Linked DNA regions of Sus scrofa. The protein of the gene in region 1 interacts with the protein of each later gene in a pairwise test. Links are inferred from orthologs where the notes say so. Each region holds a gene or a part of one and is shown in the gene's direction. Other genes may lie near its edges.

Region 1 (9,739 bases):
TGTGCCAGGGTTCTGGGTTACCAGTGGGGAGAGCCTTATCGGAGCTACCTTTAAAACCAAATATTAAAAAAAAAATCAAATAACAATGTCATGACTCAGGTTTTTACTGTTTCTTTTTCCTTTCCTTTTTTTTTTTTTTCCCCCCAGCTGCTCATGGCATGTGGAAGTTCCTAGGACAGGGATGCAGGCTAGGAATGGAACCCTTGCAACAGCAGTGATCTGAGCTGCTACAGTGACAGTCTGGAACCCTAATCCATGGAATCACAAGAGAACTCCTTGCCATTTCATTTTAGACGCATGCTCTAAAATTTTTCTGGTACTTGGCTGAGCAGAACTGGAGGTGAGTAAATTTTGATAGAGAGGGAGGTTTGGGGATATAGATGTTGTTGTTAGTTTTTTTGGGTTTTGTTTTTGGGTTTTTTTGGTCTTTTTAGGGCTGCACCTGTGACATATGGAAGTGCCCAGGCTGGGGTGGAACCAGAGCTGTAGATGCCGACCTATGCCACAGCCACAGCAATGCAGGTTCTGAGCCAGGTCCTCGACTTACACCGTAGCTCATGGCAATACCAGATCCTCAACCCACTGAGCGAGGCCAGGGATCGAACCTGTGTCCTCATGGTTACCAGTTGGGGTTCATTACCACTGAGCCACAACGGGAACTCCTATAGCTGTTGTCTTGATAGGCCAGAATAGATGAAAATTTAAGAATCTCTCTTCCTCCCCTTAGTTTATTCTATTTCATTTATCAATTCATCCTTGGGTTGGAGAAAGCATTTGTCTGATCCTTCCATTTCTATAGCTAAGTAAATAATAACCTCCCCAAATGAGAAAATATATATAATTGTGTTTTGTAAATGGCAAGGCACTATAAACAAATTTAAGGACTTATTTTTTATGATTAATTAGGAAGTATTTTTTTAACTTTTTAAAATTATAGTTGTTATAATATGCCAATTACTTCTGTACAGCAAAGTGATCCAGTCATATATTCCTATATATGTATATTTTTCTCTTATTATCTTCCATCGTGGTCTATCATAAGAGATTGGCTATAGTTCCCTGTGCTACACAGTAGGACCTCATAGCATATCCATCCTAAATGTAATAGTTTGTGTCTACCAGTCCATTCCTCTCCCTCCCCTCTCCCCGTTGGCAACCACAGTCTGTTCTCTAAGTCTGAGAGTCTGTTTCTGCTTTGTAAATAGGTTCACTTGTGCCCTATTTTATTTTTTTTTATTTTTTTAAATTTTTATTTATTTATTTTTTTTGCTATTTCTTGGGCCGCTCCCACGGCATATGGAGGTTCCCAGGCTGGGGGTCTAATCGGAGCCGTAGCCACCGGCCTACGCCAGAGCCACAGCAACGTGGGATCCCAGCCGCGTCTGCAACCTACACCACAGCTCACGACAACACCGGATCGTTAACCCACTGAGCAAGGGCAGGGACCGAACCCGCAACCTCATGATTCCTAGTCAGATTCGTTAACCACTGCGCCACGACGGGAACTCCTTGTGCCCTATTTTAGATCCATCATGTAAGTGATATCATATGCTATTTGTCTTTCTGATTTCACCTAGTATGAGAATCTCTAGTTGCATCTATGTTGATGCAAATAGCATTATTTATTCTTATGGCTGAGTAGGAGTCTATTGTATATATGTATCACATCCTAACCCATTCATCTGTCAATGGATATTTAGGTTGTTTCCATGTCTTGGCTATTGTGAATAGTGCTGCAGTGAACCCAGGGGTGCATGTATCTTTTTTCCCCCCTGTTTTATGGCTGTGCCTATGGCATATGAAAGTTCCTAGGTTAGGGGTCAAATCAAAGCTGCAGCTGAGGTCTACACTATGGCCATGGCAACTCTGGATCCAAGCCACATCTGTAAACTGTGCTGCAGGTTGCTGCAATGTTGGTTCCTTAACCCACTGAGAGAGGCCAGGGATTGAACCCCCATCCTCATGGATACTATGTCGGGTCCTCAACCTGCTGAACCAACCACAATGGGAACTACATGTATCTTTTCGAATTATAGTTTTGTCCAGATATATGGCCAGGGGTGGGATTGCTGGATCATGTGGTGGTTCTATATTTAGTTTTCTGAAGAATCTCCATACTCTTTTCCACAGTGATTGTAGCAATTTACATTCCCGCCAACAGTGTAGGAGGGTTCCCTTTTCAACTTGGAAGTATTTTTAATACCAGTGTTTAAAAGTGGAGTTATTGTGGCTCAGGGGTTCCCATTGTGGCTCAGGGGTTAACAAATCCCACTAGGAACCATGAGGTTGTGGGTTCGTTCCCTGGCCTTGCTCAGTGGGTTAAGGATCCCGAGTTGCCTTGAGCTGTGGTGTAGGCTGCAGACGTGGCTTGGATCCTGCGTTGCTGTGGCTCTGGCGTAGGCTGGCAGCTACACCTCCGATTAGATCCCTGGCCTGGGAACCTCCATATGCCACGGGAGCGGCCCTAGAAATGGCAAAAAGACCAGAAAAAAAAAAAAAAGAAAGTGTCCTTTTCAAAGATAAGTATTGCTTTTTCAAATGCTGTCCCATATTATGGTTAGTTGTGGCTGAAGTATGGTAAGGTGTGGATGCTGAAGTCTCTAATTTGATAATTTTTTTTTTTTTTTGGTCTTTTGTCTTTTTGTTGTTGTTGTTGTTGCTATTTCTTTGGGCCGCTCCCGCGGCATATGGAGGTTCCCAGGCTAGGGGTTGAATCGGAGCTGTAGCCACCGGCCTACGCCAGAGCCACAGCAACGCAGGATCCGAGCCGCGTCTGCAACCTACACCACAGCTCTCGGCAACGCCGGATCGTTAACCCACTGAGCAAGGGCAGGGACCGAACCCTCAACCTCATGGTTCCTAGTCGGATTCGTTAACCACTGCGCCACGACGGGAACTCCTAATTTGATAATTTTTAACATTTATATTTTTTAATAAATTTTTTTGAGTTTTATATTAACAGAAAAATTGAGCAGATGGTAGAGAAAATCTCCATAAACCTCTCCTCAGCCCAGTTTCTTCTATTATTAGTATCTTTTGTTGTTGTTGTCTTTTTGTCTTTTTAGGGCTGCACCTGCGGCACATGGAGATTCCCAGGCTAGGGGTCCAATCGGAGCTGTAGCTGCTGGCCTACACCACAGTCACACCAACGTGGGATCCGAACTGAGTCTGTGACCCACCCCACAGCTCACAGCAATGCTGGATCCTTAACCCACTGAGTGAGGCCAGGGATCGAACCCGCAACCTCATAGTTTCTAATTGGTTTCGCTCCTATTATTAGTATCTTATATTAGCATGATACATTTGTTACAATTAATGAAGCAATATTGATATATCACAACTAAAATCTATATTCAGATTTCCTTAGTCTTTGCCAAATGTCCTTTTTCTGTTCCCGAATCCAATTCAGGTTAAAACTTAAAAGTTTAATTATCATGATAGTTATATCCATATTACACTTAACTGTCATGTCTTTGTGGGCTCCTCTTGAGTGTGACATTAACCTTCATTCTTGGGGTCATGAACTGGGTTGAAAAATCTGATGAAAAGTATGGATTCTGTCCACAGAAAAATACACATATTGTAGACGTGTAATTTAAGGTAGTTCCACCAATAGCAGATTCAAAAGGGATTTGAATCCTTTAGGAGGACTGGGTGATCTTTAAAATGTCCACTTCAGGAGGGAGTTCTCACTGTGGCTCAACAGTAACAAACCTGACTAGTACCCATGAGGACTTGGGTTCAATCCCTGGCCTCACTCAGTGGGGTAAGTATCTGACGTTGGCATGAGCTGTGGTGTAGGCTGCAGACTCAACTTGGATCCCGTGTTGCTGTGGCTGTGGCGCAGGCCAGCTGCTGTAGCTCTTGATTTGATCCTTAGCCTGGTAACCTCCACATGCCACGGGTATGGCGCTAAAAAGCCAAAAAAAACAAAAACAAAAACAAAAAACAAAAAAAACCCCAATAAATAAATACAATATCTACTTCAGGAATTCCTGCTGTGACTTAGTGGGTTAAGTACCCTGCCTTGCCTCTGTGAGGATTCGGGTTTGATCTCTGGCCTTGCTCAATGGGTTACGGATCCTACAAAGTGGAAACCTCCAGGGTAGATCTCAGAAGCAACTAGGATCTGGTGTGGCTGAAGCTGTGGCATGGGCCTGAATTTACAGCTCCAATTCGACCCCTAGCCCAGGAACTTCCATACGCCACAGGTGTGGCTGTTAAAAAAAAAAAAAGCCCACTTCATCAGGGGCATGCTCTACCACGAATTTGTTGTGTGACCTTTTTGCAAACTTGTTTTCCTACCTGAGCCTCAGTTTTACCCTATGTTTACATGATATCTAAATCCTTTTCGATCACAGTAGAAGGTGGGCTCACCTGGGCTGGCCCATCTGAGGAAGAGAGGTTGCTAACAGAAGGCCAAGCCACATCAGGCCAAGGATGGTCTTATCAACTAGCAGGTTGCAGAAGTTCAATGGGGGAAAAAGACAAAACCTGGCTTCAATTTTACTGTTCTGTGGGTTTTGTAAGTCATTTCCTTCCTACGAGCTTCAGTTTCCTCATCTGTAAAAACGTGGAGGCCCTGCTTCTGGTAGTTATGAAACTCCTGGGAGCAGGAGTGGAGAATGTACCTAGGAGGGTATCATGGCAGGAATTATAAGAAGAGGTTGGAGAAGGTGGGGGCATAGGTGAAGTGGGGCTCGCAGGAATCTGAGGCAGGGCTAAAGGCTCAGAACTAGGAACCTTCTAAACACCTTAGTACTCTCTGACTTCATCCGCTCTTGTAGGGGTCAATTCCACCTCCACGCCGGCCCCGCCTCCACCCCGCTTCTCTCTGTTCTCCTCCCCTCAGGCTCGGACGCGCCACACTACACATGGCCGCCACTGTGAGACACTTTCCACCGCTCGAGGGCAGCGAGCGCGCTCTCGCGCCGCCACCTCATTCCCATCCTTGCCCGCCCTTGACCTCTTCCGATTGGCTCATCGTATAAGTGACGAAAGCGCTCCTTACTCCACCCTTTGGGTTCCTCCAGGCTCCACCCCACCTCCCCGCTTCTCCCGACGCGAGCGTACACCTAACCACCCCCGGTCTCCGCTGCCGCGGAGCCGGGAAAGCAGGCTAAACCAGGAAGACGCCGTCTGTGGCGCGCACGCGCACGCACGCACGCACGCACGCTGGGGCTGGCGGGGCGGCAGGCTCGTGCCCGGGCTCGCCCCGCGCCGCGCCACAGGCTCGCGCACTCAGCAGGTTGGGCTGCGGCGGCGGCAGCTGAGGCGCTGAAGCGCTGCGTGTGAGAGGTCCCAGGCGCGTCTGCGGCTCCGGCTCCTCCGCCCTCACCCCAGCCTCCGAGCCGGGTGCTGAGAAGGGAGCCGCTCTGGCCTTCGGACCCCTGAGCACTCCCCTGGCTGCTTCCGACACCGCCTTCGTTCCCTTCCCAGCCTCGGGCCTCGCTCGGTGCTAGGCGGCTCTGAGGGGAGGCGGCGGCGACGGCTGCCTGTCTGTGTCGAGGGGCCCTGCCCTCCGGTCTTGCTCCGCTCCGGGCCCTGCAGCGGCCGAGAGAGCTGGGCGCCCGCCCATTCTCTAGCCTCTCCGTCCACTGCTTGGAGCCGCGTCGGTCCGGGAGGTCTTTGGGCTGAGGCGGCGCAGCTCCTCCGGCTCCATCATGTCCGCGGGCGGAGACTTCGGGAATCCGCTGAGGAAATTCAAGCTGGTGTTCCTGGGGGAGCAGAGCGGTGAGTGCGCGGCTCCCCCACTCCTGGCAGCTGGCCGCGGCTTCCCCGCACCGCCCCCAGTGCGGCCCTTCGGCCGCGGAGGCTGCTGCGGCCCTCGCGTTCGCCCTCCGCCCCCTGCCCCGGCCCCGCGTCGGCCGCCCCCTCGTCGCCCCCCGTGCTTCCTCGCCGCGATCCGTCGGGCGGATTTTGCCCCTTCTGGCCCCGACTCCGCCGGCTCCTCTCCCCGCAGCCCGGCCCTCCCCTGTCGACGTGCCCTCCCCAGTCCTCACCCCGCCCAGCCTCCTGTCCATCCCTTTCTTCCTCCGGTCTCCGTCGTCTCGCCAGCTCCCGCTCCCTTCCTTGAGCCCCACCCTTGTTCCTCGCTCTGATCCCGGTCGGTCAGCCCTGCGAGGCCCACCGGCGGGACCCGGCTCTTTGGAACCTCGCGCCGGGAGGGGGGATCTGGGCGTTGTTTTCCCCAGAGGCTTGGCCCTGAGAAGTGCAGATCTTCTGGAAGGTGGAAAGTGGGGAGTCCTAGAAAATTCTTGGATTGTTTTCACCTGGGTGGGGGGTTGGCCTGGGTTCCAGAGGGTCCACGTCGGCCTTGGAGGCGACTTGAGGATGGAGTGGTGGGGGAGTGAGGGAGGGGCGGCGGCAGTGGCGATTTTTACCCGATGGGCTAGGCTGCGGCTTGTTGGAAAACCTCGTTTTCTTCTCCTGACTTTCATCCTTGACGATCCTTTTGGCCGCGTGGATGCTTTTCCAGTCTCTGCCAGGTGCTATGTCATGATCGTTTTACTTGGAATTTTTCACATCTCACCTCTCCTTTTTCTGTTTTAACACGAAGCGGGGTCTGATTCTCCTCACAGTGGAGCAAACAGGAATTACTGGGGAAATGCTAATTATTCCATTTCTTTTTGAGTATTTTCCAATGATAGATTGAGGATTCCTGTGAGAGAAGGCTTTAGGATAACGAACATCTTTGTTTTGTAGGATTTCCTTTGGGGTCAGGGAGTAAGAGAGAGAGAAGAGATGGGTTTTTCATCTGGTTATCTAAGTTAGATAAATACATGATACCATTTTGGCGAAATGCTTCTTTTATGGTTAATATTCCACTGTATCTGATGAGTAAAATCATTTGTTTACCTGACCATGCTTCTGCCGTCATTGTACTTTGTGTTAGATAAAGGTCCTTACTTTGTGTTAGATAAAGGTCCTTATTTTGTGATGGCTGCTGTCTCTAAAATTACTTCTTGTGGTAATTCCAATTTTATGCTGTGTTATACACACTTCATACTCTGCAGTTTAGAGGTGATCACCCTTCATTGTTTTTCTCTCACTTTTCCTGGCTGTCTTTAAAATTGAGACAGTGAGAGATTAGTTCTTACGAAGTCATTAGACATTGTTATCTGTTAGGTGTTTTAGGTTAGGCTATAGAAGACATTTATTTCTTTTGATTGGGAAGAAGATAACTGATGTTAATTCAAGGCTTTTGTTACTACTTTGAACTATTTACACTAATTTGTGTGACATTAAAGTAGGTTAATAATAGTTGCAAAATTGCTTCCAATTAGACCTGAGAAATCATTTTTCTCCTTTCATACATAATTTTTTTCTCCTTGTTGTCTTACCAAGTTTCCTCTTTGTTTATTTTTTCTGAATTTGTTTCTTTAAGTAACTTGAGACCTGTGAGGTTGATCCTTGTCCAGGTATTATAACAATTTTAGGGCAGTGCCATTCATAAAATATAGCTATTGGTCATTATTGATAGGATAAGTGCTTATTGTGCACTCTAGGGATGTTTTTGCCTGCCTGATGTTGTGATGCAGAGATATTTAGTTTGCATGAAAAATCTCCATCCTAGGAAAATTTTAGTATGAATAGTCATAACTTAAGTATCTGCAGGTTTCCTTTGAATTTCTTGGGTATTTACTTCTAATTCTCATTGCAGAGTTTTATAGCTTCTCATTTCTTAACTTCTTTAAGTCTTTACTAAATCCCCTTCCTGCCAATTCCTGAAGCCATCTTAGATTTTTTTAAAAGTAAACTCAATTTTGTTAGAACAGTTTTAGATTTACATAAAAATTAAGATAATGCAGAGAGTTCACATAGAGTCCCACCCAATTTCCCTTATTATTAACATCTTTCATTAGTATGGCACATTTGTTACAATTAATGGACCAATATTGATGCATTATTAAGTAAAGTCTCTAATTTATTCAGATTTTCTTCATTTTTATCTGTTTCTGTTCCAACATTCAGTTCAGGATACCACATTACTTTATGGTTGTCTTTCTCCTTAAGCTCCTCTAAGTTTTTTTAAAATTGTGTTTGCATGCTTTTTAACTCGGTGGAACTGTGAGGTTAATTATCTTTGAGGCTGCTATATTGCTAAGTAATGTCATCCAGTAGCTTCGACAATGAAAGATTGATCTCTTTTCACAGGCAGTGTCTGTAGTGTTCTTATGCATTAGCAAAGGTCTGTAGAATCCATGTCATCTAGATGTAACTCTTCATGAATTTTTTATTTTTAGGTTTTGGAATTCCACAATTCAGCTTTCAAGACCAATCTGTGGCAAAGCTTTGTCTTCTTAATAGCATTTACCACATTTATAATTCTTATTTTTTTGTGTTTTTTTTTTTTGTGTGTGTGTGTGTTTTTGCCTACTTCGCACAGCAGAATGCAAATCCCATGTGATTTAAAAACTATTATTTTTTTGTTCATTGTATCCCTGGTGCCTAGGATAGTGCCAAGCTTGGAGCTGTACTCAGAATGAATGATGGTTGAATCTAATAGTAACCAAAGCTAGTAGTCATCTTTGCTCTGGTGAAGTCTATGTTTTTTTTTTTTTTTTTTTCTTGTGCAATTAATAATATAACAATAACATTTTATACCTACTTTATTTGACTGTATACAGGGATACTCCAGATGCCCAGGGCACAGGGAACCCAATAATTTATAGCCTTTACCATGTCACTAAAAAAAAAAAAAAAAAGACTGACTAGAATTTTATACCTTTTTTTGAGTTGAACAAAATTAGGTTTGTTAAAACTATTGTTAAATTATTTGTTACTGGTATAGCACCTAAAAGTATGTCAATTAAAGCCATGTTCATGGAACAGATTTGAAGTTAGGTAGACTGTTTAATTTAGTTTTTCAAAAATTTAACATTCTTTGATGAATGAAGATGAATTATTTCAGTATTTGAGGCCTCATTAAATTAATGATATCAGTCTTAGTAATCTTCCTATAAATTCTTATGGTTTATATTTTAGCAGTATACATGGTTTAATAAAAGAGTGTTGGAATATACAACTTGAATCTGAAGTTTCTTTGAGGAACCTCTTTGGTTGCTATTTTTGGGTATTGTCTTGAAATCAGAGGCATTTTTAGGAATGTCATTCATGGTTTACAGCAGAAGATATTTCTATAAACAAATGTTATGAGTTACAAATTAAGAAATATAATCCCAAAGAGAAGCACATATTTAGGCCTAGTGCTGCTTATTTTTTTCACTTTATATTACCTTTTTTTACATCAGTCCTGTATTATAATTATATTTTTATATATATTATATATATAATTGAATTAAAACATGGTATGTAGGAAAAAAGTGTCGTAATGTCAGATACCAGGAATACTGAACAGTTTATATTGTCTGGATCAGTAATCCTAAACTTTTTTTTCCCCTCAGGATCCTGTTACGCTCTTATAAACTGATGAGGCTTCTAAAGAGTTGTTTATGTGGTTTGTATCATTATTTACTGTGTCAAAAGTTAACTGAGAAAGTTTAATTCATTTAAAAATAATAGTGTTAGATCTATTATATGTTAACAGAATCATTTTTAATGAAAGAAAACTATTTTTCAAACAGATTTAGTGAGAGTGGCATTGTTTTACATATTTGCAAATCTCTGTTAGTTCTGATGTATTAGAAGACATCTGGCCATAGCTGCTTCTGCATTAAATCTCTTGTAATATCACACATCACATAGGCTCTGGGAAACTCTGCTATATACTCATGAG
Region 2 (9,881 bases), on another chromosome or scaffold:
GAAAACACTAAAATTCTATTTGTTGTTACCGAGGTTTTAGGGGCCCTCTTAAAATTTGTGCCTACAGCAAGTAACTGAGTCCCCCTGATCTCAGCCCTGCTGGCCTGTCAGGTGCTCCGTGCAGCCTTAAGCACATCTCTTTCCTTTTTCTTCACCGTGAAGAGACAAGAACACCTCCTAGAGATGCTGCCAGAGTGGATGAAGGTATGTGGTCAGGTGTCCAGTGTGGTGGCCGGCACGTGGTAAGGGATCAACAAATACCAGGTATGACAATGTCAAGTGAAAAAAAAATGCCCAACCTAAAAACGGAAAGTTCAGTTTTATTTGAGGATCTTTCTGAGGACTCTAGCTGGGTAAACAATATCTCAAATAGCTCTGAGAAACTGCTCTGAAGAGGTGAGGGAGAAACCAGCATATGAAAGGTTTTTTGCTGGAAAAAAACAGCAAAAGATTATTGTTGATGAAACCAAGAAGAACCCCATGGGGCTCCTGGACACAGATCCACATAACAATATTTCTTTCTTTTTTTTTTTTTTTTTTTGTCTTTTTGCTATTTCTTGGGCCGCTCCCGCGGCATATGGAGGTTCCCAGGCTAGGGGTTGAATCGGAGCTGTAGCTGCCAGCCTGCGCCAGAGCCACAACAACGTGGGATCCGAGCCGAGTCTGCAACCTACACCACAGCTCAGGGCAACGCCGGATCCTTAACCCACTGAGCAAGGGCAGGGATCAAACCCCCAACCTCATAGGTCCCAGTCAGATTCGTTAACCTCTGTGCCACGACGGGAACTCCCACATAACAATATTTCTAAGCTCTTCTGCAGAGCTAAAACCCCCAACAAATCAGAAGACTTTAACTACTTGATGAAGCATTCTTCCTTCCAGAGAGACGGTTTACAGTTTGATAACTTTTAGGCCAGATTAAAGGATACCTGATCCTTATCAGCAATGCTGCCCTTGACCCCTTGCTATAAAACTCCTCACAAATCCTCTCAGGTTGGGACACACCGATTTTGAAGGCATGAACCTGCTGTGCCTGCTTTGCCTGGCAAAGCAATAAAGCTCTTCTTTCCTACTTCACCCAAAAGCCTGTCTCCAAGATCCAGTTTTGCATCAGTGCATGAAGGCTGGGTTTCAACAACATGAGTCACACAAAAACAGATATCTCGAGTTAATTATTTTAGTGCTTTTCTGTATATGGGAAGATGCAAGAGTCTGGGCTCATTGAAATTGTTCCTTAAAAATGCATCTTAGGAGTTCCTGTTGTGGCGCTGCAAAACGAATCCGTCTAGGAACCCTGAGGTTGCAGGTTCAATCCCTGGCCTTGCTCGTGGGCTATGGATCCCATATTGTTGTAAGCTGTGGTGTAGGTCACAGACGCAGCTTGGATCCTGCGTTGCTGTGGCTGTGGTACAGGTTGGCAGCTGTAGCTCTGATTCAACCCCTAGCCTGGGAACCTCCATATGCCGCCAATGCGGCCCTGAAAAGCAAAAAACAAACAAACAAACAAAAACTCTGCCAATCTCCAATGCATAGAATATTTCCTGTTTTTCTCTATCCTGAATTTCCCTCAGGGCCCACCATGGGGGTGGGCTGCAGGGGTAGATGGTGCCATTCTTCTAGAACTGGAATGCCAGGCAACATTCACGTTCCACAATGATCTCATAGTCTTACTAGATAGGGATTCAATCTTTTATATAAATGAAGATGCAAAGGAAGGCAACCTGTCCAAGTCCGTAGTTATCAGGGACATAACTGTCCTCCATTCTGCCTCCAGTGATCTCCCAGGGTACCATGGCAACTGAGATGGAAAAACAAACAAGCCAACCAAAAAGCATGATGCACAACATTGCCACTCACTCATAGGTACGTGGATGTATGTGTCTCTGTAGGATCAGAACGGCCAGAGTTGATCAGAGGCATCAGGGTAAGGATGGTGGATGTGGCAAAAATGCCTGCTTACCCAGGCACACTGGCAAACTGGAGGGCAACCCCTGGGAGTAGAGAGGGAAGTAGAGGTGGGCCTTTGTCTCTGGCTTCTGGTAGAAGAAACAGACAATCTTTGAGGGGAGAAAGCTATAGCAAATGCAGCATAATACCAACATCCAGGGAGAGCCTGCTATTTTTTCCATTAGAAAAGTAGGATTGGAGTTCCCATCATGGCGCAGTGGTTAATGAATCCAACTAGGAACCATGAGGTTGCGGGTTCAATTCCTGGCCTTGCTCAGTGGGTCGAGGATCCGGTGTTGCCATGAGCTGTGGTGTAGGTCGCAGACGCGGCTCGGATCCTGCGTTGCTGTGGCTGTGGTGCAGGTTGGCAGCTGTAGTTCCGATTCAACCCCTAGCCTGGGAACCTCCTTATGCCGTGGGAGCAGCCCTAGAAGAGGCAAAAAAAAAAAAAAAAAGAAAGAAAGAAAGAAAAGAAAAAAAAAGAAAAGTAGGATTATGATCTTTTTTTTTTTAAGTAAAAAAATTTTTTTGTTGTTGTTGCTTTTTAGGGACACTCCAGGATTATGCTTTTTCCATGTTAAATATTCTACAACATAGGTGTTTTTTTTTTTGCTTTCCTTTTTTCTGCTTTTTAGAGCCGCACCTGTGGCATATGGAAATTCCCAGGTCAGGGGTCAAATTGGAGCTGTAGCCGCTGGCCTATGCCACAGCCACAGCAATGCCAGATCCTAGCCAAATCTGTGAACTACACCAAAGTTCGTGGCAATGCTGGATCCTTAACCCACTGAACAAGGCCAGGAATTGAACCTGTGTCTTCATGGATACTAGTTGGGTTTGTTACCTATGAGCCGCAACGGGAACTCCTAACAACACAGATTTCCAAGTCCTCACAGCAATTCATCTTACTGATGGATCATAATTTAACTGATCCCCAATTTTTTTTCTTTTTTTCTTTTTCTTTTTTTTTTTGGCCTTGCATGCTGAAGCTCCCAGGCCAGTGACCAGAGCCACAGCAGTGACAACACCGAATCCTTAACCTACTGAGCCACCAGGGGACTCCATCCTTTTCTTATTTTCTAAAAGCTGAATTGCTGGCTCAAAGGGTCTGCACATTTTTTGTTTGTTTGTTTGTTTTTTAGGGCCGCACCCACTGGCATATGGAGGTTCCCAGGCTAGGGGTCAAATCAGAGCTACAGCTGCTGACCTAGACCACAGCCACAGCTCCGCGGGATATGAGCTGCATCTGCGACCTATGCCACAGCTCAAGGCAATGCCGGATCCTTAACCCAGTGAGCGAGGTCAGCGGTCAAACCTGAGTCCTCACGGATACTAGTCGGGTTTGTTAACCTCTGAACCACGACAGGAACTCCAGGGTCTGCACATTTTTAAGAGTGGACATGCAATAGCTGTTTAATCAGTAACAGTATCAAGCACATTTATACACATTCTTTGGAGAGGGCCTGCTCTGTGGGATCTTTTCTTTCTTTTCTTTTTCTTTTTTTTCTTTTTAGCACCACATCTGTGGCAAATGGAAGTTCCTAGACTGGGGATTGAATAGGAGCTGCAACTGCCGGACTAGGCCACAGCCACAGCAACTTGGGATCCAAGTCGCCTCTGCGACCTACACCACAGCTCATGGCAACCGCCAGATCCTTAATCCATGGAGCGAGGCCAAGGGTGGAACCCGCCTGCTTTTGGATACTGGTCTCTTTGAAACCAGCTGAGCCACAATGGGAACTTCTATTACTTCTTTTGAAGTGCAAAGCAACCCTACAAAGTAGGTGGTGTTTTTCCCATTTTACAGAGGGAAACAGGTAAAGAAGTCTTAGAGAGGTGAAGGGACTTGTCCAAACTCACGTGGTTGGTGAAGCTGGGAAGACTATTTAGAACTGACTCCAAAGTCAAGGTGATGGTTAAATAGTTGTGAATAGAGAGGAGTCCAGGTAAACCATTAGCTGTGCTTTATGGAGTGGACAGAATGACAGCAGGAGTAAGGGTCGGAGAAGGTCATCTGGCAAACCCCAGAGGCTGAGCAAAGGCCATCAGCGGATTTCTTTAAGCTCATGATTTGTAGGTCAAAGGCATTAGTGACCGGGCGAGTCCTAGATTGACTGGCAGCGGGGAGAGTTGTGGGAGGGTGGCCCCCCCCTACACACACACACTCCCCCGGATCTCCCCACTCCCACCCCGGACTCTGCACTGCCGCTCGAGGCTCCGCCCTAGTCCAGCCCCTCCTCGGCCAGTTGCAATCAGAATCACCCCGCCAAGGGCCAGCCCTGGCCCCGCCCCTCCCTTCCGGGTTCTTTCCCTCACTTCCCGCCGGACCCAAGTCAGACCCGGGCCCAGGCCCAGCCTCCATCTGGTTTGCAAAAATCCGAAGGACCCTGCCGGGCTTTGCTCCGCCCTATGCTACGCCCCTTCTCCGCCTGGTACCATCAGAATTAACCTCCCGAGTGAGCTCAGGCCCCACCCCTGCCCGGTACCCCGGGAGAACGTGCCCTGGCCCCTCCCCCTCTTCTCTGGGCGCCGTCCGGATGGCCCCGCCCCTCCCAGGCCCCGCCCTGTCTAGCGTCTTCCCCACGCGGCTCCGGCGGCCGCATCCTTCGACTCAGCTCCGTGAGCTGAGCTGCAACCATGGCGGTCACCGCTGAGGGCGCCCGTAGGAAGGAGCGCGTCCTCTGCCTGTTTGACGTGGACGGTACCCTCACGCCGGCTCGCCAGGTAGGGCCTCGACGTTCAGAAGCTCCTGTTGGGAGTGTCACGCGGACACCTGGAGGCCGAATGTGTGGCCTCCAGCAGCGTGACCCCAGATCCCCCGGGACTGTGTGTGAGATGCCGGAACACACCCGGCCCCTGACACCCCAGGGCCGCCCTCTGGGAGTGATGGGAACCCGGTTCCCCACGTCACAGGCCCCGAGCGTCCGTGCCCTCGTTCTGCCTGAGAGCGAGGGGGGGTGGGTCGGATTCTGGAGGGAGGAAGTGAGCGGGGACCTGGTCCCTCCGCCGCCAGGCCTGGCTCCACGCTCCCACCTCCCCAGCAGTGACTCCCACCCCAGTTCCAGCCCAAAGAGGCACCAGTAGCCCGATGCTGGCTTCTGAACCTAGGGTTCCATACAGGGGCTCAGTGCTCCCAAGCGTTGGAGTCCCAATCGGGCGGGGGCCGGGGGTGGGGGAGTGTCTCCGAGCCAGCCCACCGACCTTTGCAGACTTGGGCCGCGTCTGGTTTCTCAAGCCCCTCCTCTACTTTCCCTCCCTCCCAGGCCCATCCCCCTCCTCTTGGAGGGAAGGAGGGCTTCTGTACCATTTAGGCAGAGTTTTGGGGCTTCGCCCACTTGGAGGGAGGGGCTCGTCTGGTCACCATGGGAATCTTGTGGTACCGGGTGGGCGGGAGTGCAGTTTCCCTTCTAAAAGCATCTCACCAGGTTGATGCTCCAACCTCTGCTCCACACTCAGTTTTTCTCCCTTCGGGTCTCACCCAGGATGAGCCCCCAGACCCGCCCTCACCAGGTGGGTTCATGGATGAGCAGGCTCTTTCTTGCCCTCCAATCTGGGTCCATCAGGACCTCCTGAGGAGTCTCCTAGAGCAGGGAGCCAGTAGAGGTGGGTTGCCTGGCAGAGGCTGATGGGCAGCCAGGTCTTAGTCTCCCCTCCCCTTTGTGAGGGCCCTGGGCCAGCAAGAGGAATCAGGCCACCTCACCTTCCAGCAGCTCCCTGAGTCCTCAGGGATGCAAGGAAGAAGACAGTGGAGCGAGGGTAGCAGGGCTGAGGAACAGTGTCCACCCCTCCCTCTGACCCTTAGCTCCACTAACCTGACAGCCTGAACAAGAACAGTGGCACTGCTGGATCTGGCCTTAGCACTTTTTAAAAGTTAATTTTTAATTGTACACGTACTCGTGAACACGTTCTCTTGTAAAGAATGAAAACAGAACAGAGAAGGCTGAAGTCCCCTGATTAGTCAGGATCCCAAGCCCAGCCTCATCCCCAAAGTTGTGAGGTTTTCAAAGTGCGTTTGATTGTTTTTAATAAGTGGTATCATACTGTGTGTGTCTTTCTGCAGCTTGCTTTTGACAATAAACAGCGTGTCTTGGGGCTCTTCCGTGTTGGAAGCACAGTCCTGCCTTATTCTGTTGTGGCTGCAGTATAGAATTTCAGTGCAAGTGTGTGCCATTCTCTAACTGACTAGCTTATTTGTCTGCAGTTTTCTTCCTGTTATAAACCCTACCCAGTGAACATCCATAATGCACCTGCACAATTCCATAGACGGGGTACTTGCATTTTAAGTTTTAATAGATCCTGCCAAATTACCCTCCAAAGTAGCTGTACCAGTTTACCATCTCACCAGCAACTTGAGAGTGTTTGTGCTCTGTCCGCTCTAGATGTTGTCAGCTTTGAATAACTGAATGTTTGGAAACACGGCTTACAACTCATTAGTTTACACATTTCCTTGACAGGGAATCTTTTCAAGTGATGAGTCACTAGTCAATTGCTTATTCATTTCCAAACACCACCTCATTTAAGCCTTCACAGTGACCACCTCCAGGCAGTTGCTACTATGATCCCCATTTTAGAGGTGGGACAACTAAGGCAAAAAAAAGGCAAAGCCGGAGTTTCCATCGTGGCTCAGCGGAAACGAATCTGACTGGTATCCATGAGGATGTAGGTTCGATCCCTGGCCTCACTCAGTGGGTTAAGGATCCGGTGTTGCCGAGAGCTGTGGTGTAGGTCACAGAGGCAACTTGGATCTGGTGTTGCTGTGGCTGCGGTGTAGTCTGGCAGCTGCAGCTCCCCAGTTAGACCCCTAGCCTGGGAACTGCCATATGCTATGGGTGCAGCCCTAAAAAGACAGACAGACAGACAGGAAGAAAGGCAAAGCCATTTGCTTAAGACATCCTGCTCCTAAAGGACTTGAGCCTGCTTTTGAACCCAAGTGCATCTAGTTTTGAGATCTGGGTTCTAAACCTTGAACTGCCTCAGATGTAGGTGGAATGTGGGCTCCCAGGATTCTGAACCCTGAGTGAGATCTAAGTGGAGGGCCCAGACAGGCTGACAGTCAGAATCTCGTGCTTTCCTGTCCCCCTGCAGAAAATTGACCCTGAGGTGGCTGCCTTCCTGCAGAAGCTGCGCAGTAGGGTGCAGATCGGCGTGGTGGGCGGCTCCGACTACTCTAAGATTGCCGAGCAGCTGGGAGAGGGGGATGAAGGTAGGAGGGGTGGGCCAGAGCCAGCTTCAGGTGGAGGGAGTGGGACTTTGGGAGATTCCCTGGAGCTGTGTGCCTTCAGGGACCCCACCCTGCTTCAGGGAAAAGGAAGTAGAGTAGCAGCCAGATAGTTCCCTCGGTGAGTCAGCTATTATGTGGTGAGCACCTACTGTGTGCCAGGCACCCTGAGGGGCTTTGGAGAAACAAGGAACAAAGCGGACAGAATCCTGCCCTTCCATTGTTTATGCTCTCAGTTCTCCCTGAGCCTTGATTTCCTCATCTTTAAAATGGGCTTGGAGTTCATGTCCTCGATCAGCGGTAACAGACACAACTGGGATCCGTGAGAACGCAGGTTTGATCCCTGGCCTTGCTGAGTGGGGTAAAGGATCCAGTGTTGCTGTGAGCTGTAGTGTAGGTTGCAGACATGGCTCAGATGTGGCGTTGCTATGACTGCGGTGTAGGCCAGCAGCTACAGTTCTGATTTGACCCCTTGCCTGGGAGCCTCCATGTGCCGAGGGTGCAGCCTTAAAAAGCAATCAATGAAATAATTAATAACTAATTAATTAAATAACATGGGCCTAATCAGGGAGTTTCTGTTGTGGCTCAGTGAGTGAAGAACTTGACATAGTGTCTATGAGGATGCAGGTTCGATCCCCAGCCTTCCTCAGTGGTTAAGGCATTGTCCTAAGTTGTGGCATAGGCCAGCAGCTGCAGCTCTGATTCAACCCCTAGCCTGGGAACCTCCATATGCCACAGGCATGGCCCTAAAAAGACCAAAAAAAAAAAAGAAGCACATAATTAATAATGGCTACCATTTGTTGAGAATGACCATGTGTTAACTTCTTTCATTTAATATTCATAATTTAGGGTTGATATGATTATCCCTTTTATTTTCTTTTTTTAAAATCCTATTTAACAGAGGAGAAATCTTTTTTTTTTTTTTTTTCCCCTAGGGCTGCACCCGCGGCATATGCAGGTTCCCAGGCTAGGGGTCTAATTGGAGCTGTAGCTGCGGCCTACTCCAGGGCCACAGCAAATGGGGATCCAAGCTGCATCTGTGACCTACACCACAGCTCACGGCAATGCTGGATCCTTAACCCACTGAGTGAGGCCAGGGATCGAACCTGCAACCTCATGGTTCCTAGTCAAATTCCTTAACCACTACGCCATGAGGGAACTCTAACAGAGGAGAATTCTGAAGACAGCCAGGACCCAGAGCCCCTTTTCTCAGCTGAGTTCCCAGGTTCAGCTCATTTAGGCAAAGGCCTCCAGGTCCTCAAACCAGAGACTACCTTGACTTTTCCCTCCCCTCTTCTTTGTTTTGTTTTCTTTTTTTTCATTTTTGGCCACCCCACGGCATACAGAGCATCCCTGGCCTGAGCCGCAGTCTCCACGCAAGCCGACGCTATGGCAATGCCAGATCTTTAACCCACTGTGCTGGGCTGGGGGGATCAAACCCGCGTCCCAGCGTTCCCAAGACGCTGCTGATCCCGTTGTACCACAGCGGGAGCTCCCACCCCTTGTTTATTCTTCAGCAAGTCCAAAACTTTCTCCCTGTGTCTCCATCTCCACTGCCCCATCATAGTCCAGGCGGGCACCTGACTCTGCATCAGCCTCCTGGCTGAGTTCCCGGCACCTCCCCGCCCCGCCCCCTCCAGCCACTTCTTGTGTTGGTCAGAGCTGGTTGGTCCCATGCAGCCAGTCTTGAGAACACAGTGATGGAAGTTGTAAAAGAAAAGGGAAGCCCCTGTGCAGAGGGGCTGCAGGAACGCAGAGCAGACGTGGCATCCTCTCCCAGGAGGCCCGGGGGGGCTTCCAGAGGAGGCGCTGGATCCTAGGGAAGGAGTGGAGGAGGACGTCCCAGCTGGGGGAGCTGCGTGAGCAGGGCCCAGAGGTGTGTCTGGCTTGAGTGCTCGTTTGGAAAAAACCAAGCTGCAGAAGGCAAGGAGGCTGGAAAGCAGGCTGGGGATGGAATGGCAGCCCAGGGAATGGGGCTTCTTCCCTCTCCTTGGCGCTGGGCACCTGGTCTCACACTCTTTCTTTCTCCCCTGGCCTCTGCGTGGCCCTGAAGTCGTCGAGAAGTTTGATTATGTGTTTGCTGAGAACGGAACCGTGCAGTATAAGCACGGACGACTACTGTCCAAGCAGGTCAGTGTCCCCCAGGGCCTTAGGACACTTTTCCACAGTGGGATTGTCCTGGGGGCTTCTGACCGGGGCGGGCGGCGGGGTTCCGTGCCCACCTCCCTCAGAGCCCTGTGTTCCTTGCCCAGACCATCCAGAACCACCTGGGCGAGGAACTCCTGCAGGACTTGATCAATTTCTGCCTCCACTACATGGCCCTGCTCAGGCTGCCCAAGAAGCGGTGAGACCCCCGCCCCGCCCTGTGTCCCACCCCTCCTGGGCCTGGGCGGGGAAGGGTGGGACTCAGAGGGGCCCTGATTGCCGGTGGGTGAATTCCTGTCTCCTGGATTCCAAGTCAGGCCCGTCTCCTCCCTCCGGCTCCCTGCCCTCCCCCCTCCCCGCCCCCACCAGGGGAACCTTCATCGAGTTCCGGAACGGCATGCTGAACATCTCGCCCATCGGCCGCAGCTGCACCCTGGAGGAGCGCATCGAGTTCTCCGAGCTGGACAAGGTGCCACCCGCTGTGCAGAGCTTGGGCGATAGGCCCTCAGTCACGCAACCCTCTAAGCCTTTACTTTCTCATCCGTGGAGAGGATGGGGGCGGGGAATGCGGGTT
Region 3 (10,073 bases), on another chromosome or scaffold:
TGGGCATGCAGAGCTCCCAAGCAAATAGCAAAAAAGGGAGCATTAAGGCTACCAAAGCAGCCAAACCCAGGCCAGTTCCCTGCCTGGACACTTGTATGTGTGAACATCTTGCCCTTTTACCCCTAATGGGAGGAGTGGGGACCTGCAGTCCTCACTTATGAAGGCAGAGTTTCTGAGAGGACATTGTAGGAGAAAATGTCCCAATAAAATGTAGAAAGGAGAGACCCCAGCCGTGATGACTAAGCAAAGTCTAGCCAACTGCCCCAACCAGTCCTCCCCCATGCATCTGCTTCCGCATCTACTACCTTGCCTGACGTCACTCCAGTCCAACTAGTCAAGCTTGGACCTGGAAGACGTAGCCCATAAAAGCCTTGTGAAACCCTTCTTCCAGGCTCAGACTCTGGAGAGTGATCTCCTCTGAGCCCGCCAGTGTAATAAAACTGAGTTCTCCAACTCTCCGAGTGCTCGCTTGGTTTCTCGCCGGGTAAAAGAGCTGATCCACTGCAGCCGCAAAGCTGCTGGAGCTGGTACGCTATAGCCATGGGGCTGTCGCCAGAGCTGATACACTGCAGCGCAGGGCTGCTGGGTATCTGTCATAACAACATCACTTACCTTTGTCCCTAGGCCAAGGGTCACCCAGTTGTTCTTGGGGAGGGGCACCATGGATGTTCTCTGGCATCCCAGTCTGCCAAAGCTGCCTCCATTCCCTCATATTGTCCATCCCAGGGAGGGGTGTAGAGTCCAGGGAGTGGGGGATAGTAAGTACGGGCGGTCTCCACTGGTGTCCTGAGCCCCTGGTGTCGGTCAGGAGACTTCTGAGGCATGGTCCCTCCTGGAGCTGATATTCAAGGTAAGACAAAAGTGCAAAAATGAGTAACTTTAATGTATAGGATGCCATGGAGGAAGATAAAGCCAGGAAGGGGAGCAAGCCAGGAGGGCAGAAGGGCCACTCCAGAGACTGGGCAGGGTCTGGGAGATAATCAGCCTGTGCCTCTGGGAGGGGGCTGTGATCTTAAGGTTTGTGCCCTCACAATTTACATGTTAAATGCTAACCCCCAAGGTGAGGATGTTAGGAACAATGGGTCCTTTGAGGGTGATTAGGTCATGAGGCTGGAGTCCCCATGAGGAAATGATTGACTTTATAAAGAGGCCCCAGAGAGCTCCTCACCTCTCCTGCCATGTGAGAGAAGAGGAAGCGGGTTCACTGGAGGTTCTCACTAGATGCTGAATCTGCTGGCACCATGATCTTGGACTTCTAGTACCTTGAGAAATAAGGCTTGCTTATAAGCCTCCCAATTGTGGTGTTATTTTAACAGCCTGAAAATACCAAAAGGGTTTTGAGTAAGGGCATGTGACCTGCCTTGGGTCTGAAGAGCCTTCTGCTGCTGTGAGAGAAAAGATAGGGTGAGGGGGTTGGGGGAAGGCTAGTGGGGAAGTGAGTAAATAGTTCAGGTAGAAGGCAATAAGGTTCAAGCTACAGAGGGAACCACAGTTGGGAGGGCTGGAGGCTGAGGCTGGATCTGTCATTTACATACAGATTGGCAGATCAAATGAGGGGTGTAAGAAGTCCAAGGTGGTGGGAAGAATTTTGTCCTGAGCCTGTTTCCTCTTTTGTAAATCAGAGAGCATAATTCCCACCTCCTGGGGTGTTGGGAGGATTCAATGAGATGATGGAGGTCAAGTAACTGGCAATATTGGAGGCCTAGTTGGATCCTAACAAGCAGTGGCCCTGCTTCCTATCTTGCCAATCCCTTATACCAGCAGCCTGACCAGCCACTTTCTATGCATTCTTTGGGTCTCCTAAACCCTGTCCTGATGCCTGTCCTCCCAACACTATCACCCATCATGGCTCCTCTGGTGACAGGCCCTCTGTCCCCAGCACCTAGGAGAATCACTGCTTGTCCCCTTCCACAATCACTCTGTTTCCATTTTAAGCTCCACGGTCAATGCCTGCACCAGATTCCCACAGCCTTTTCCCCCTCTCCCTCCTCAGGCCAACCCCACATGAAGGTGTGGAGGGGGCAGGGTTTTGAGTTTGGCCAGCTTGGGTCAGAAGGGGCCACCACTTCTCACCATTCCTTCCTCCCACGTTAACCTTGCTCAAACAAGGCTTGTTCCTTCTCCCTGCTTTCCTCTATGATCTCACCCACTTAGACTAAATGATGCACCTAGGCCTGATGGTCTCCTAGGACTTGGTGCTCTCTGTGCAAAAGCCAGGTCAGACAGGCTGACTGGACATCCTACTCCTACTATGGGTAGGAGTATTGCCCTACAATTTTTTTTTAATTTAAAATTTTTATTGAATTTTTTTGGCCATACCTGGGGCATGTAGAACTTCCCAAGCCAGGGATGGAATCCACGCCATAGCAGTGACCCAAGCTGCTTCAGTGACAAAACCGGATCCTTAACCTGCTGAATTTTTTTAAATTTCACAAGTAAAATTATGCCAGTTTTTCCTCATACAAATCAAACCACTGAAAGGAATCAGGGCTCCTTGGAGAAATGGTTGATTCCAGGTCTGGGACAGAGAGTACAAGACAATACTGGAACAACTTTGCTAGAAAGTCAGAAAATGCTCAAAAATCATGGCATGTTGAAAGGACACAGAGCCAGCTGGACGAGCTCCTACTGGCCACATGTGCCATATTTGAACATTTAAGTGAATAAGGAGAGTAATGGATTGTAACTCATTAGGTAAAATAAGAACCCACAAATCCATACCACTAATGAATGAAATATCTTTCGACGAAGTGGAATAAGTACAGAAGGAATGATGAAAACAGAAAAAAAAGTATAATGGTAATTCATTTAGGCAAGAAATATCAATGGAAACTGGTAGAAAGTTTGAGGAACTCATACAACTCAATATCGAAAAAACAAACCACCGATTAAAAAAATAGGCTGGAGACCTGAATAGAAGGTCTCCAAGGAAGATATATGGATGGCTAACAGGCCCATTTAAAGGTGTTCAACATTGCTAGTTATCAAAAAAATGCAAATCAAAACCACAATGAGATATCACCTCACACATCTAGAATGGCCATCATCAAAAGGCCACAAATAACAAGTTGGTGAGGACATGGAGAAGAGAACCCTTGTACACTGTTGGTAGGAATGTTAAGTTGGTGCAGCCACTGTGGAAAACAGTATGAAGGTTCCTCAAAAAACTAAAAATTGAACCATCATATGATCCATTAATTCCACTCCTGGATATATATCCAAGGAAAATACTAATTTGAAAAGATACATGCACCCCAATATTCATAGCAGCATTATTTACAATAGCCAAGTTACAGAAACCTAAATGTCCATTAACAGATAATAAAGATTATGTGGTGTATATATATAAAATGGAATTTTGCCATTTGCAACAACATGGATGAACCTAGTGTATCATACTAAATAAGTCAGACAAATAGTATATGTTATCACTTTTAATAGTAGATAAAGAGATAAAGAGAACAAACTAGTAGTTATCAGTGAGGAGAGGGAAAGGCGAGAGGGGCAAAATAAGAGTAAGGGATTAAGAGGTACAAATTATAAAATACTTAAGCTAAAAGGATATATTGTACAGCATAGGGAATATAATCAATATTTTATAATAACTATAAATGGAGCACAATCTTTAAAAATAGTGAATCATTGTGTTGTACACCTTACTCATGTATCATAAATCAAGAATACCTCAATAAAAATTTCAAGAGCTTGAGGAGTGACGGGATAGTTGCAAAATCTAAACTGCCTTCTCATAGGATAGTAATAACAAAGGAATACCCTTGCCTCCTGACAGGATTCTGCGAATTTAGCACCCTGATGCTCCTGCCAAAGTGCATAACCTAATCTAACCATGGGGATGCATCGGTGTGTACACTTATGGCTTGCATGCCTCAGAAAGATCAAGGTCAAAGAGACAAAGAGGGAGAAAGTCTCCCAGCCTGAGCGAGAGTAAGGACTTAACTAGAACCCATGCTACAAGGGTAGGGCAGGGACGCGACGCTGGCTGGCCACGCGTCTCTGATTCGAGGCCACTGCAGTGACCTGGATAATCCTAGGGCGCATGGAAATGCCTAATTCTTAGAAAACAAGCAGGAGGCGTTTCGTACTTATTTGAGGCGAAGGTGGGCTCTACTGCTAGCGGTTTGACCATATCTTCCACTAAATACGTCCTGGGCTAGGCTGGCCTCGCCTGTCTGAGCCACCGGATTACTGTCCTCACAGCCACCCCGCCCGCGGTGCCCCCGCCGCGCCGGGCGTTCCACTCACGGCGGTTAGCACCGTGCCCGGCTCCACCCACCCACCGCTCAGCGCAGTCCACGGCCACCCCGGCCACCCAGCGCACCGCCGACCCTAGCCTCGTAAGTACCGCTGGGGGCACCGGAAAAATATCAGTTTCCGGCCTTGCGACGGCAGCTGCGCAGGCCAATCGCGGGCGAGGGCTGGCGGTCGTAGGGTACGACGGGTCTTGTAGTCGGTGGGCGAGCGGGACTACGTACCCCACATTGCCCCGCGCGGCGGCTGCGGAGGCGACAGCATGGGACGGGGCGGCCCGGGACAGGGCGCAGGCCAATCACGGGCGGGAGAAGACTGCGCGTGAAGCACGTCGGGTCTTGTAGTTCCCGCGGGCGGGACTGTGGTCCCCACAGTGCCCCGCGCGACAGCGAGCTTACTGCGGCTGCGTGGTGGTGGCGGCGGCGGCGGCAGCGGCGGTGGCCCGGGCGCCGTCGGGCTGGGTGGCGGCGGCGGCGGTTCCAGGGGCGGCGGGCGGGAGCCGGGCTTGAGCCTCGGAGGGAGTGGCACGACCCCGGCCGTGGCCACCATGTCCGCGTCGTCCGAAGAGGAGGAGTACGCGCGGCTCGTGATGGAGGCGCAGCCGGAGTGGCTGCGCGCAGAGGTGAAGCGGCTGTCGCACGAGCTGGCCGAAACCACGCGTGAGAAGATCCAGGCGGCCGAGTACGGGCTGGCAGTGCTTGAGGAGAAGCATCAGCTAAAACTACAGTTTGAGGAGCTTGAGGTGGACTATGAGGCTATCCGCAGCGAGATGGAGCAGCTCAAGGAGGTAAGGAAGGGCGGCCGCCGCCACGCCCTCCGCGCCCCCACCCCGGCCAATCCCCACACCCGACCCGGACTCCTCACCCCCGGGTCAGACAGACGTCAGCGCCGACCCCAGAGCTGTCCTCCGACCCAGGCCAAACTGACCTCGACCCCGGGACAGGCGGACCCCCGAACCGACCTCATATCCCAGGCCTTTCAGGCCAGCACTGGGGCGCCCTGGGTCGGAGGCTGCGCTGCTGTGGGGGGCGGGCCCCAGATGTGGTGGGCAGTGCGCGCTGTAGAAATTCTGGTCTCTGTGGCAAGGGCTGCTGTGGGGCCGTGTGGCCAGCCTGTCTACAGGCTCCTGATGCCAGGTCTTGGGCACGGTGGGGTGGCGTCCTTTGCGGTATTTGGCTTTCTGGGTGGGGGCATGGGATGGACACAGGTGACCGCCTGGGGAAGGACAGGCACATTACTTCTTTCATCTGGACTCAGCCGCCTTCAGCGGTCTCACAGTCTTCCGTGAACGCTGTGAGGCCATACCAGGGCCAAGTCGGGGGCTTGCTTTGCATGTGGCCACTGCCTGGACTACCCCACTGTCCCTCCCCGTGCTCAGCTCTCTCTGACCTCCCCACTAGTTACTTCTCTGGGATACAGTGCTTCCTTTGTCCACTTCCTGTCCTGGCTGCCTTCTCAGGCCCTTCCTTGCAATTGGGTGACAGGTCTGTGGATGCTTGTCATTGATAGAGCCTTGTGTCTCCTGTGCGATATACACTTGGGAGATCTGCAAGGTGGATCCCAAGGTGGCCAGAGAATCTTGCAGCCAGAGAGCTAGGCAGCCTTCCCACAAAGTAATTCTCATGGGTGATTTAAACATCCTTTTCTCTCCCAGTCCTCCCTGACTCCCCAGCCTTGTTGTGGAGGTGGGGAGGAAGAAGTTGCTTTCTGAGTGAAACACCTAGGTTTGGACCGAAACCTTTTCCCTTCCTGGAGGTGTGGCTGTGAGCAGGGGCCTTAGTGTCTTGCTCTGTAGCATCCCACCCAGAAGGGGTTGGTCTGAGGGATATTTGAAAAGTCCGGGCAAGGTGTCAGGCATCTAGCCTGTCAGTTTCTGTGAGAGCCTGCCCCTGCCCCACTTGACAATTCCCTTTTCCAGAGGGACCCTTGGCCCCTTGGCCTCAGGATCCACCATGCTTGCTGCTTCCCTAGCTGCCCACTTCCCAGCACCCCACTCCAGTGGCTCTAGGCAGGTGCCTGGACTGTTCTGAGCCTCCATGCTTCATGAGGGAGACCAGTTGGTCCCCTTCTGATAGCAGGGGAATTAATTCATGAAGGTATTTAAATCTATGCCTGTTCGAACAGGTGCCCGGTTAGTACCCGTAGAAGACTGATGTGGTATGGGAGTGGGGGTGAGGGAGCTCATGGACCCCAGGTCCTATATTGGTGCCTCCTCTGAGATCTTCAAGAGGGGCGACATTTGGCCTCTCCAGCAGGGGCCTCATCTTGGTGTGTGAAGTAGGGGAATGCGCCCAAGAAGGGGGGCTGAGGGGATCTTGAGACTATGGAGTGGGAGCACCCTAGGCTCACCCCCTCTGCAGCTCCTTGGTGAACCCAGCCCCCCCCCACCTCCACCCCCAGAGTGCATAGCAAGCCCCCACAGGCAGCATGCACAGTCCTCTTCTGTGTTCACAAGCTTGACTTGGTATCCCCTGTAAGAATAGACCAGAAGGGAAGATTGCACACAGAGCTAGCTACTCCTGCTTAGGAATCTTTCAGTTGTCAGCTCTTTACTGTTACACACATTTGGCTGGTGCAAGAATCTTGACTCAGTTTTGTAGGGTGTGTCTGGAGGGTGGGTCCCCAGGGGGATTGGGAAGACACTGTATCAGTTTGCACAGGTGTTCTTCAGGTGTCTGCTTGCTTCTTTTGATGTTACCTCCTGGCTCCCTCACACACTGGCTACATGGCCTTGGACACATCCCACTTTCCTGAACTTTGGTTTCCTCTGTGGCAGGTAGGATAAGAACCGTTCAGCTGGAAATCCCAGCAGAAGCTACAGGAAGGTGCATCACAGTCTTGGTAGATGTTTAAGGAAAGCTTGTACCAGTTTACTCAAACCCTTGTCAACCTCTCTAATTTTTTCTAATATTATTCTTGAAAGTATTGTTTCTTATTTGAAAAATCAAGATTTAACCAATATCTTTTTTATTTTTTTATTTTATTTTTAATTTTTTTTTTGTCTTTTTGCCATTTCTTGGGCCGCTCCTGCAGCATATGGAGGTTCCCAGGATAGGGGTCTAATCGGAGCTGGGGCCACCAGCCCATGCCACACCCATAGCAACACAGGATCTGAGCCACGTCTTCGACCTACACCACAGCTCACGGTAACGCCTGATCTTTAACCCACTGAGCAAGGCCAGGGATCAAACCCGCAACCTTATGGTTCCTAGTCGGATTCGTTAACCACTGCGCCACAGCGGGAACTCCCCAATGTCTTTTTTTAAAATTATTTTTCTGTAGAGAGATGAGCCATCTTCATTCTTTTAAAACTTTATTTCTTCAACTGTACTGGGTTCAGTTACTAAAAATTATCCTGCAAGTGGAGGCGCCTACATCCCTGCCTAGCATTTGTGGATAATACTGACTTTGAAGCGGGGAAGCTGACTGGCCAGTCCCAGGTCATTGGGTTTGTGACCAGACCTGAGGAGGATTCCGTGAGCCAGTGGGCAGTGGTGCTGGCCCTGCGGTCTTTCTCACTTGGTGAGTGTGTGTGTCCTGCTGAAACCAGGGTGTGTGCAGGGACCCACTGGCCCATTTTGTCTAACCATTTTGCTGGTGACTCATTCTGGCTTAATAATGTCCCCATCTGCCCCAAGTTCTTCTATACCCCCTTCCCAGCATGGTGGGGAAGAGAATTGGACAGATTTTGCGCCGTATGGTGTTTCCTAAGTAGCAGTGGAATATCTTACCCTGTGTCCTCAGCTGCAGTTTCAAGAAGGCAGGTGTGCTGGGCTGACAGTTCCTGCCTTGGGAGGGGGGGGTTGGGCAGGTACCATGAGTGGGTGGTTCTTGTAGGTTGGGAATGTGAGGGCTGGAGAGCATGCCCCAGGCCAGTGGCTGGGGTCCTGGTGCAGTCTCAGCCCCACCCTTGCTCAGCTCCCAGAGAGAGAAGGAAGATGAGGTATGGATGCCCTTGCTCTCTTCTCTGCCGCTTTGGGGTCTTATCAGTGCAGGTGGAATTTGGTGAGCTGCAGCCTGTCACAGGCTGGAACTGGTGCCCAGGATATATAGTAAGTGCTTACTCAATAAGTTTCTGCTAGCTGGTGTCATCAGCTCCTTCCCTCCATCTCACCCAGGCCTGGATCCCCTCCCTGCTGTCTCTGTAGTCACCTTGTCTCTGTTCATTGTTCTTTTGAGGTTTGGCGTGGCCCCACTGTGTCTCCCAGAGGGTGGCCTGAGCTGCTGCCTGGGGCCTCTGGCCTGGCTCAGCCTGTTCCCCCTTGTCCTGGTTGCTTTTACTGTCCTCACCCTGCCAGTCTTGGATCTTGAAAGCCCCGCCTGCCCTTAAAGGACTGGACGCTTTTCAAAGCCTCCTCTGGTCGCCACCTCTGGACTTACCTAAGCCAGCTCCCAACCTCCGGATGTCCCTCCCATGTGTAGGCTCAGCAGCCTCCTGAAGAACTGTGGCAGAGCTGGGGGGAGCAGCTGCTCTGTCTTCTTCCCTCCCTCATTCCCGTCCCTCTTGTAGTCTCCTCTCTCAGAGGATGGGGCAGCCAAGGTCAGGATGGGTGTAAGTGACTGAGGAAGGTCCTGTAGCTCAGACCGAGCTGTAAGTGGCTGTTGGACACCAGATTCCTGTCCATACCTTTGTAGAAGTCACTGCCAGGAGCTAGCTCATGGGGCAGTGGCGGGGGGCGGGGGTTGTTGAGGAGGGCCCCTCAGGCCTCACCCCTGTGGGGGAGCTGCTCCTGCCCTAGACTCCCCATGCCCCACCAACTCCTGCAGTCCTCCCACCAGCCCTTAGGGTCACCACTTTGTTATGTCTGTTTCTGGGGAAACTGAGGCACAGAGAAGTTGTGTTCCACTCAAGGCTGTGAGCCTAGGCATTCTTCCCCAAGAGGGCAGGCACTTGTGGAGGAGGAGGCCTCTGTGCAAGGCCCAGTCTCATCAAGTGTTTGCTTTAGGGCAGGAAAAGTCCTCATTTGGCTAAATCCTGTAAGGATTATGCTCATCTGGACCACCCTAGAACTTGGAGCAGAGGAGCAAGCAGCTGTGTACATCAGTGTTCTTGGGTGTGGCTTCGGATGTGTGGCCTGGGCGCTGTGAAAGAGCTGCCTTTCCACAACTGGTGCATGAGGGAGGCCAGGCATGAGTGTGGCGCTGCCTGGATAGGCAAGGAGGCGCTTCCTGTTCTGACCAGAGCCGTTGTTGTCCCTCTCTGGTTCTAGGGGAGCAACTGGACCCAGCCTGGGCCCTTTGGACCTGTGTGGCCGTGGAGGAGTGCCTCTGTCCTGAGGATCAGGCTGGTGTACCTAGTGCACATGGGCACATGGTGGCTGAGGCCCCGGGTCTGAGTAGCTGCCTCAGAGAGAGCCAGGGCCAGGTAGACACAGGCTTCTGCTGGGCCTTCCCACTTCAGGGACCCTGACCCCTTTCTGTGAAGGAGGAACTTACCCTTGTGAGTTTGGGGCAGCTACCCTTTAATCAGACCCGCTTCTCTACATCTATACACTGGTAAAAGGGCCACTGCACATGTCAAAGGTAAAGAAAGATTTGGTTTCTTTTTTTTCCATACCCTTGGCATGCAGAAGTTGCCAGGCCAGGGATCAAATCTTTGCCAGAGCAGTAACCAGAACCATAGCAGTGGCAATACCAGATCCTTAACCCACTGAGCTACCAGGGAACTCCTGGTTTCTTCTTAGACAGTGACGTGAAGGTGGCTAGTAGGCGGGGGCTGGCCAGGACCCTGCAGGCTCTGATGAATCCCATATTGTCTGGTGTTTGATGTCTGGCCCCTTGAGGTGTCCCCCAGAACAAGAGAG

What was found.
Region 2: the proteins of RAB6A (region 1) and PMM1 interact in binary tests that used the Homo sapiens proteins (3 or more experiments, as listed by UniProt). The two-hybrid records come from large-scale screens. The link is inferred for Sus scrofa from reciprocal best matches to the Homo sapiens genes RAB6A and PMM1.
Region 3: the proteins of RAB6A (region 1) and BICD2 interact in binary tests that used the Homo sapiens proteins (3 or more experiments, as listed by UniProt). The link is inferred for Sus scrofa from reciprocal best matches to the Homo sapiens genes RAB6A and BICD2.

Annotation. Positions count from the first base shown.
Region 1 is NC_010451.4:8,194,513-8,204,251, reverse strand, and holds the start of RAB6A (ras-related protein Rab-6A), read left to right. Parts: upstream 1-5,039; 5' UTR 5,040-5,663; coding exon 5,664-5,733; intron 5,734-6,029; exon of another isoform or gene 6,030-6,466; coding exon of another isoform or gene 6,467-6,488; intron 6,489-9,412; exon of another isoform or gene 9,413-9,432; coding exon of another isoform or gene 9,433-9,460; intron 9,461-9,739. UniProt on the Homo sapiens protein: The small GTPases Rab are key regulators of intracellular membrane trafficking, from the formation of transport vesicles to their fusion with membranes.
Region 2 is NC_010447.5:6,960,750-6,970,630, forward strand, and holds the start of PMM1 (phosphomannomutase 1), read left to right. Parts: upstream 1-4,249; 5' UTR 4,250-4,581; coding exon 4,582-4,668; intron 4,669-7,029; coding exon 7,030-7,147; intron 7,148-9,215; coding exon 9,216-9,292; intron 9,293-9,414; coding exon 9,415-9,506; intron 9,507-9,676; coding exon 9,677-9,776; intron 9,777-9,881. UniProt on the Homo sapiens protein: Involved in the synthesis of the GDP-mannose and dolichol-phosphate-mannose required for a number of critical mannosyl transfer reactions. In addition, may be responsible for the degradation of glucose-1,6-bisphosphate in ischemic brain.
Region 3 is NC_010445.4:42,451,393-42,461,465, reverse strand, and holds the start of BICD2 (protein bicaudal D homolog 2), read left to right. Parts: upstream 1-4,644; 5' UTR 4,645-4,816; coding exon 4,817-5,056; intron 5,057-10,073. UniProt on the Homo sapiens protein: Acts as an adapter protein linking the dynein motor complex to various cargos and converts dynein from a non-processive to a highly processive motor in the presence of dynactin.